2 linked regions of the Daphnia pulex genome follow. The protein of the gene in region 2 interacts with the protein of the main gene of each other region in a pairwise test. Links are inferred from orthologs where the notes say so. Each region holds a gene or a part of one and is shown on either strand. Other genes may lie near its edges.

Region 1 (4,000 bases), about 5.7 Mb from region 2:
GTAGTAAGTCAGGAATCTCTGCCAAAACTTTTTCTTTAGTGATAAGAAGACTTTGGGGGATCTGGACTAGCAGATGGTTAGGAGCTATGTTAGACATAGCCATGAGACCTCGTCCAGTGCTATTAAACAGAGCTGGCTTTGTAACTAAACAATTTTTTGACACAGCATTCCAACCATTCGCACTCATCCATTTACAAAGTTCAACGAATTCTGAATGTGAATCAATCCGAAGTGGGCGAGAATGCACAATTCGAACCAACCTGTTTCGGATTCTAGATGTTCGTCCCATGTTTTTTTATAATGGAAATATATTTAATTTAACACCACAACTTTATACCACATTCATATTCTCACAGTTTTTCAATAAACTCACGGCGGTTTTCTTTTCGAATAGAGATGAAACAATTGGTTAAAATGAAATTTACGGCTGCTTACACTTGACTTCAAATCTTACTGAGTTTACACTTTACACATTTTGTTTACATCAGAGTGATCAGACGACTATGAGTTGACAGTGACAGGAATAGGGACGGGTGGGTTGAATCCGAAGTGGCTAGTCCGCTTTCATATGTATGGTTTGAGATGTAGCCCTTTACGCACCAGGAAGTGCTTGATTTCTAGTACATCTTTTGGATCCTAGGGCAAAATGCACGCCACTAGAGGCGCTATGCCCACGAAGTGAACGAACTAATGCTTGTCGCTTGACAGCTCTTTTTATACTAAATGCTATCCAGCACTCCCTAATGCATTAAAAAGGACGTTGCCTTCCCCCAAGCCTAGAGAGTAGAGACGTAGCAGTAGATACGTCTAAATAATTTTTTTACTTGACATAAATCATTTTCTATGATAGCCTAGCCTTAAGCCCTTAACTTTCCAAATTAATTAAAAAGAAAACCGTTATTCGTACGCAGGTACACTATCCCTTAACGGAAGTGTGAAAAAACAGGTTCGGTTTTAATTGAATAACTGAAACGCTATTCATCACAAAGAGAAAGATTTGAAAATAAATGCGGAACTTGCATTTGAGACAACCAGACGTCAACGAAAAAGAAGTGCGCGTTATTAAGATCTACCTCTAAAATTTATGCGATCTCTTTTGTCGTTAAAGAAAATCGGCCCAAATATTATATATTTTGAGATAAAATCCGCGGGTTAATGTCAATGGATTTATTAGATCCAATTCCTTGTTGTAGTTATTATATACCAGAGAGATGTATATTTTTCCTATATCACTGGCAAAACCAACAGTCAGATTCACGTCGATGTCCGTTAAATTTTTCTTAAATTTTTGGTTTAGTGCTTTAGTCTCAATTTTAAAAAAATTCCGCGATCCTCCCATCAGATACCTTAAAGTAGCAGCGAAGAAGCAACAAGTTTACTAGTTTTGGAGTAGCCTTTTTATTTTGCGTTTATTTGAATTTATTTTGATTCAAATAAAATAATCTGATGGGCTATTTGAATTTGGAAAAATCTCCAAAAAGTCGCTAAAAAGCGGAACAGCCACTTTGGTTCTAGCTCTACTGATCGTATAACGAAGCGAAACATGCTGTCTGCAGTCTCTGCACTCTGACGAACGTGTTTGACTGTTTGCCCACGCCAGTTTTCAGTTTGATTAGTCTGCAACCTGTGAATCGGTATTTTATTATTGTCCTCACTGTGCATAATAATAAGGAAGGTTTAGACAGTGATATTTATATATTACTCATTAGCTTATGGGGATGCTTTGAACATTGAGAATTTCAATACTTTACGTAAAGTTTTTGAACACGTAACCTCGATTCTTGATAATCTTTCTTGTGGTGCATTCAAATTTGTGCCGCAACATGTCATCTAACAATGCCAAGCGAAACATCTATGTCGGTAAGATCAAATAACATATTTCAGTCTTACGAAATGTAATGCTTACTGTGATTCATTTTAACAGGTGGCCTTCCTGATGAGGCAGATGAATCAGTAGTGCGTGCAGCCTTTATTCCTTTCGGAGAAATTGTTAATATAGAAATACCTCCAGATTATGAAAATCATGAAAAACATAGAGGTTTCTCTTTTATTGAGTATGAACTAGCTGAAGATGCTGCTGCCGCAATTGATAACATGGTATTCTCACAATTTCTTACAGTTTATCTAGTAAACAAATATTTAATTACTTGCCATCATGGATGCCTTTCTTTCAGAATGATTCTGAGTTGTTTGGCAAAACAATTACTGTAAACATTGCAAGACCTCGGAAAATTAAGGAAGGATATTCTAGACCAGTTTGGTCAGAGGATTCTTGGTTGCAAAAATATGCTGGAAAGACAGAAGAAAATAAAAATCCAGTGGAGGAAAACAATAAGGAATCAACTGAAGGGAAAGACAATGTTTCTGAATCTGAAACTAAGTCAGCAGTTTCTAAAAAGCCTCGCGGCAACCCTCAAGTGTACATGGATCTTAAAGCTGGAAAAATCAATTTGGGCAGAATAATTATTTTATTGAGAGCTGATGTCGCCCCTAAAACATCTGAAAATTTTCTTGCTCTCTGCACTCATGAAAAAGGTTATGGATTCATGAATTCCAGTTTTCATCGTATTATTCCAGGATTTGTAAGCGGAAAGCTCAGTTTTAATCAATATTTATTTTTATTAACGTTCTTTTGCAAAAGATGTGTCAAGGTGGTGATTTTACTAACGGTGATGGAACCGGTGGTCGATCAATTTTCGGTGGAAACGGGAAATTCGAAGACGAAAATTTTACGTTGAAGCACAACGGTCCTGGTATTCTGTCTATGGCGAATTCAGGCCCAAATTCAAATGGATCCCAATTTTTTCTAACCCTTGACAAAGCAGAATGGTAGGTTTTTTCCCTGTTAAAATATCATAGTTATAATGCTAATAGCACCTTTATGTTTTCAAAGGTTGGATAACAAGCACGTCGTATTTGGTCAACTTCTTGCCGGCCTAGATGTTTTACGTAAAGTGGAGAAGTACGGAACAAAGTCTGGTAAACCGACTGACAAAGTCATTATGTCCGCCTGTGGAGAACTATTGTAACACATGAATAAAAGAAGCTTTTTTTTAACTACATTGTTTAATGACCAATGTCTTGTGCTCATGAAAAATATAAACAAACAAATTGATTGGACTACAGTATATTCCAACCCTCTTCCCTCCCGGAAAAAAACAAAAAAACAAAAGAAAAACATTAACGTCATGGGTCCTTTAATTTTCGTTGAGATTTTCATATTGATTGATCCAGCTATGAATCAAATCTTGGATGTAATTGTCTTGCAGGTCTTTGGGTATCCGCGGTCCCGGATAATTCAATTCTTTATTTAATGCGCCTGTTAGTTCATCTAAACAAGTAAAATAATTGGTATGTTTACAGGAAATTCCCAAGTTTGACATTTTTTAGACACTGTAAGGTATTTGAATGAAAAAAGATATTTACTAATATTCATATTAGGCCACAAATCTTGCTTCTGATTCATAATGGGAATTTCATTGGATATACGGCCAAAAGGTTCCTCCCCAACCATTGCCGCCCGACCAGACTTCGAAAGATATATATATTTTTTTTTAAGTTTAGAAATAATTATCTGATTTTTTACGTCTACTGTGGACTACACACCTCCGTGGAAATATCCTTGCGCCTACCCAAACGAGGAACCGCCTTTGATGCCTTCAGAAAAAAATTAGAGAGACTTCCTTCGTGAGGAAAAGATTCTGAATTCATGTATTCAGCGATGATTCCTTCACCTCGTCGGCCGATTCGAGGAATCTTTTGTCGAAACCTATTATAATTCGGATTAAACGGTTCCGGGCTGGGATCTGATAAGGCAGACGCCAGCAGTAGCCACGTTAAAAACAGTCCTTGATTTAACAAAACGACATTAGTTGGTTCACTTTGTACTGTAAAGCAAGAATTAAATTCAAATATAAAAACCTTTTATCATTATTAGCTCTCGATACATGATCACTGTAACAGGAATAAGTTGATCTCTGTCCAACTGCGACAACTGAGC
Region 2 (4,579 bases):
ATCGCCAGGAGCTCCTGGGCCAGCCATGAACTCATTGGCGTAGGGATCAGGTACTATAGGTGGTGGTGGTAACATCATTGGTGGTGGAATTACTGGTGGCGGCATACCAAATGGAGGAGGTAGAGCCATATTTGGAAAACCAGGAGGAGGACGTGAGAAATCGATCGATACGGGAGGTTTCTCCACAGGAGCTTCAGGCTGATATTAAAATGAAATTTAAATAATAAACTTTAAAGTTTTTTGGTTGACTTTGGATGAATATTTTATTAAGGATACGGGGCCTTACCACTTCGGGAGGTTGCTCCTCCATAGAAGGAGCAGGTGAAACGCCTGATTCTGGTCGGCGTGAAGATAGATTCCCTCCACCAATGACATCAATGGCACCAGCCATTTTGCGTGCTGGCGGAGGGCCTGCTTTTTTCACAACCACTGACCCCGCATATTTTGAATTTTCGTTAACCACTGATATCGGAATCGCTTGGGCCGGGGTCGCCATCATCTGAATCAAAAAATAATAATATCGTCTTTGAGCTTCATTTGTTTACGTATTTTATTACCTTGGGTGGGGGTCCTAATCCAAGGCTAGCCGGAACACCAGCCCCAGACTCCATACGGGATCGCCTTTGTCTCTCACAATATGCTTGCCACGTTATTTCATTGAAACCGTAATTAAAATAATCAGTGATATCAGCACCAGGCTTCCTCCAAGGTTTATCTTCCAGCGAATCCAAACTAAATTCATGTGCTGGTACACCGTTAATCGCCATTGAGCCTTCGAACTCTTCCACAGTGAACTTAAGATAAGATACATATGTTAAAAACAAACTCTTGCATCAAACATGATGTAGCTCAATGTATACTTTGCTCTTTTCCCCCAATCCTTGTGCCGTTGTTCCAGCTGTTCCTCTTTTGACATTAAAACCAGCATAAGCTGCTGGGCCAGATTTTATGTCACCAATCGTGATTTGTACGTCATCATCACTTTCATCATCCTCATCGTCATCATTGTCTTGATCTTCATCTTGTCTCTCATCCTTTTCTTCGTTAGTCTCTGCAGCTTCTTCTGGATCTTTTACAATAGAAAATACAGGATGTTAAAACTGTTATGGGAAAACCAGACAAGCGATTCAACACAGGGAAAGAGACAAGGGATAATAGTTGAAGAACTTTTCCATAATTAAAAATGTACATGAAATTACCATAGCCTTCTCCAGCGTATTCCGTATTTCCGTCATTTCTGTCTATGGCAATATGATCTTCATTTTCGATTTCGTACATTTCTCCATTACCGGTGGTGTCTTGGTCGATTTTTCCATCATCGCCCTGAAAAAAAAAGAGACAAGTATCAATTTCAGTTGACGAACAATAATTTTTTTTTTAAACTCACGTATTCATCTGGTAACTGTTCCGAGGAATAAGGGAATTGTGAATTAGAATTATCTGCCTCATCTGGGTGCCGGACAGTGTCGGCCATATTCGGTTGTAAACAGCAGAAGACCCCACTTCAATTTAGGCCTGAGGGGACAAACAACAGCGAATGTACGCTTGTGGCTTGTCGGCTGTCGCTGTTTCACATCAAACGCAAAAATAAGGTATTTTTACTATAAAAACTTGTGATAATCCATTTTTATAATGATCTCGTTATATAAAAAGACGCTATTAGGGACAAAATTCAACTTTAATTTGGGTTAGACGTAAGTGTGCAACTTGGCAACACTTCACCCGGCAGACGTGCATTTACGTTTGGTTCGTAAATTTATTTGTTAAATTTTATTTGAGCCGAGTGGCTGCGAGAAAATTCATAAACAAAATGGATAAAAGTATAGGGAAGAAAACTGGAGACATTGTTTTGGTAATAATACATTGTTTTATATTGAAGTTGACTAATAGGTTTTAACAATATGTCTTCTGTCTTTAAAGTGTGAAGAAGATTTAGCGTATGAAGAGGAGATTCTACGGAACCCTTACTCTGTCAAACATTGGCTTCGCTATTGCGAGTTCAAAAAGGATGCCCCTCCTGTTGTTGTCAATTTGATTTATGAGAGAGCTTTGAAGGAAATGCCTGGCAGGTTCGTTTGATTGGTTCTTGTAGTAGTACATAGTAAATAAGTTTGTACTCATTTTCAACTATCCACATGTTTGTCTCTTCACAGTTACAAACTATGGTACAGTTATCTCTGCCTAAGAAGGAAGCAAACTAAAGGTCGCTGTATAACAGATCCACTGTATGAAGATGCCAACAATACTTTTGAAAGAGCATTGGTATTCATGCACAAGGTATCTTAAATGCCAATTATATTATTATCACACATTATTAAATACCATGTTTTTAATGAATACCATAGATGCCAAGGATTTGGATGGACTATTGCAAGTTTCTGACTCTTCAACAGAAGATTACCACTACGAGAAAGGTCTTTGACCGTGCTCTAAGAGCCTTGCCAATCACCCAGCATTCCAGAATTTGGCCCCTCTACTTGAAGTTTGTTAAAATGCATCCAATACCAGAAACAGCTGTTCGAGTTTTCCGTCGTTTTCTTAAACTATCGACCGAAGATGCAGAGGAATTTGTCGATTACTTAAAATCTATTGACAGACTTGATGAGGCAGCTGTTAAACTTGCCCAGATTGTGAACAAGGACAGCTTTGTTTCGAAGACAGGAAAATCAAACCACCAACTGTGGAATGAACTGTGCGAACTTAATTCGAAAAATCCCAAGCAAATTAAAAGTCTTAACGTGGATGCAATCATTCGAGGAGGTCTTCGACGGTGAGTGTCTGGAAAAAAATTAAATGCAAATATTTTTACAAACATAGGAATAATTTACTGGATTCTTATGTAGGTACACTGATCAACTTGGCCAGCTTTGGAATTCCCTTGCCGATTACTATATTAGAAGTGGTTTGTTTGAAAGAGCAAGAGATATTTACGAAGAAGCCATTCAGACAGTTACTACAGTACGAGACTTCACACAGGTAAAATACTTTGTGGTCGTCTTATTTAATGCGAATCAAGTTAACGTTTTTCTGATTTACGACAGGTGTTTGATGCCTATGCCCAGTTTGAAGAGTTGAATTTGAATCATATGATGGAAGAGATTGGTCAGAAACCTAATCCTACAGAAGACGATGATATTGAAGTTGAGTTGAGGATGGCCCGCTTTGAGGATTTAATGGATCGCCGGCCCTTGCTATTGAATTCTGTTCTTTTACGTCAAAACCCCCATAATGTCGCCGAGTGGCATAAACGAGTCCAGCTTTATGAGGGCAAACCTCATGAAGTTATCAATACTTTTACCGAGGCTGTCCAGACAGTCGATCCAAAGCAGGCCATTGGAAAGGTGCACACGCTGTGGGTCGACTTTGCCAAATTTTATGAGAAAAATGATCAGATTGACGATTCACGGATAGTTTTCGAAAAAGCTACGCATGTAAGTTGTTTTTGCAGTGCATTAAAAGCCTTTGATCCCCTCATCATTTTTGTGTCACTTTAAAGGTGAAATACGTGAAAGTTGATGAACTGGCGACTGTTTGGTGCGAGTGGGCCGAGATGGAGATCCGAAATTCTCATTTCCAAGAAGCTCTCAAGTTAATGCACCGTGTTACAACTCCTCCTGCACGCAAAATTAATTACCATGATGACGCCGAACAAGTGCAAACACGTGTTCATAAGTCACTGAAGGTATTTTATATTTTTAGCCACTTCCATTCTAATGATCTCTCTACGATTGTCACATTTTTATTTTCTAGATTTGGGGTTTGTACGCTGATCTTGAAGAAAGCTTTGGTACTTTCAAAACATGCAAGGCCGTGTATGACCGTATCCTCGAGTTGAAAATTGCAACACCGCAAATCATTATGAACTATGCCATCTTTTTGGAGGAAAATAACTACTTTGAAGAAGCTTTTAAAGCTTACGAACGTGGCGTTGCTCTTTTCAAATGGCCCAACGTGTACGACATCTGGAACACCTATCTCTCAAAGTTTTTGAAACGCTACGGCGGCTCAAAATTGGAACGAGCTCGAGATCTCTTTGAACAGTGTCTTGAGGGATGTCCGAATAAGTTTGCCAAGACTTTCTTTATGCTCTACGCTAAACTCGAAGAGGAACACGGCTTAGCCCGTCACGCTATGAACGTTTACGAGAGAGCCACCAAAGCTGTGCCAGCAAATGAGCGCTTTGACATGTACAATATGTACATAAAGAAGGCATCCGAGATTTATGGTGTGACCAAGACGCGCCACATCTATGAACGATCCATCGAAGAGCTACCCGATCACCAGGCTAGGGAAATGTGTTTGCGATTTGCCGATTTGGAGCGCAAATTGGGAGAAATTGACAGAGCCCGTGCTGTATACGGACATTGCAGCCAAATGTGCGACCCCAGAGTTGCGCCTGAATTTTGGAAGGTATCTTATCTTTTATTCAATTCCGTCCTAGAAAGTTATTCACCCATCATTTTTTTTAGGTTTGGAAAGAGTTTGAAATTCGCCATGGCAACGAAGATACGATGCGGGAAATGCTTCGAATCAAACGCAGCGTGCAGGCAACATATAATACACAGGTAAAGTCTCAACC

The links. The genes of interacting proteins can lie anywhere in the genome.
Region 1: the proteins of pre-mRNA-splicing factor syf1 homolog (region 2) and peptidyl-prolyl cis-trans isomerase E-like interact in a two-hybrid assay, tested with the Caenorhabditis elegans proteins (2 studies listed by BioGRID). The link is inferred for Daphnia pulex from reciprocal best matches to the Caenorhabditis elegans genes syf-1 and cyn-13.

Annotation. Positions count from the first base shown.
Region 1 is NC_060020.1:8,629,415-8,633,414, forward strand, and holds peptidyl-prolyl cis-trans isomerase E-like, read left to right. Parts: upstream 1-1,524; 5' UTR 1,525-1,823; coding exon 1,824-1,860; intron 1,861-1,924; coding exon 1,925-2,097; intron 2,098-2,174; coding exon 2,175-2,582; intron 2,583-2,641; coding exon 2,642-2,829; intron 2,830-2,893; coding exon 2,894-3,029; 3' UTR 3,030-3,115; downstream 3,116-4,000. Other genes in the region: uncharacterized protein LOC124191929, read right to left, coding at 3,198-3,331, 3,427-3,529, 3,607-3,848, 3,922-3,949.
Region 2 is NC_060020.1:2,902,919-2,907,497, forward strand, and holds the start of pre-mRNA-splicing factor syf1 homolog, read left to right. Parts: upstream 1-1,501; 5' UTR 1,502-1,592; intron 1,593-1,653; 5' UTR 1,654-1,810; coding exon 1,811-1,852; intron 1,853-1,920; coding exon 1,921-2,069; intron 2,070-2,153; coding exon 2,154-2,277; intron 2,278-2,345; coding exon 2,346-2,770; intron 2,771-2,843; coding exon 2,844-2,976; intron 2,977-3,041; coding exon 3,042-3,431; intron 3,432-3,496; coding exon 3,497-3,682; intron 3,683-3,750; coding exon 3,751-4,410; intron 4,411-4,469; coding exon 4,470-4,565; intron 4,566-4,579. Other genes in the region: pre-mRNA 3'-end-processing factor FIP1-like, read right to left, coding at 1-198, 287-499, 558-794, 861-1,069, 1,200-1,323, 1,388-1,474.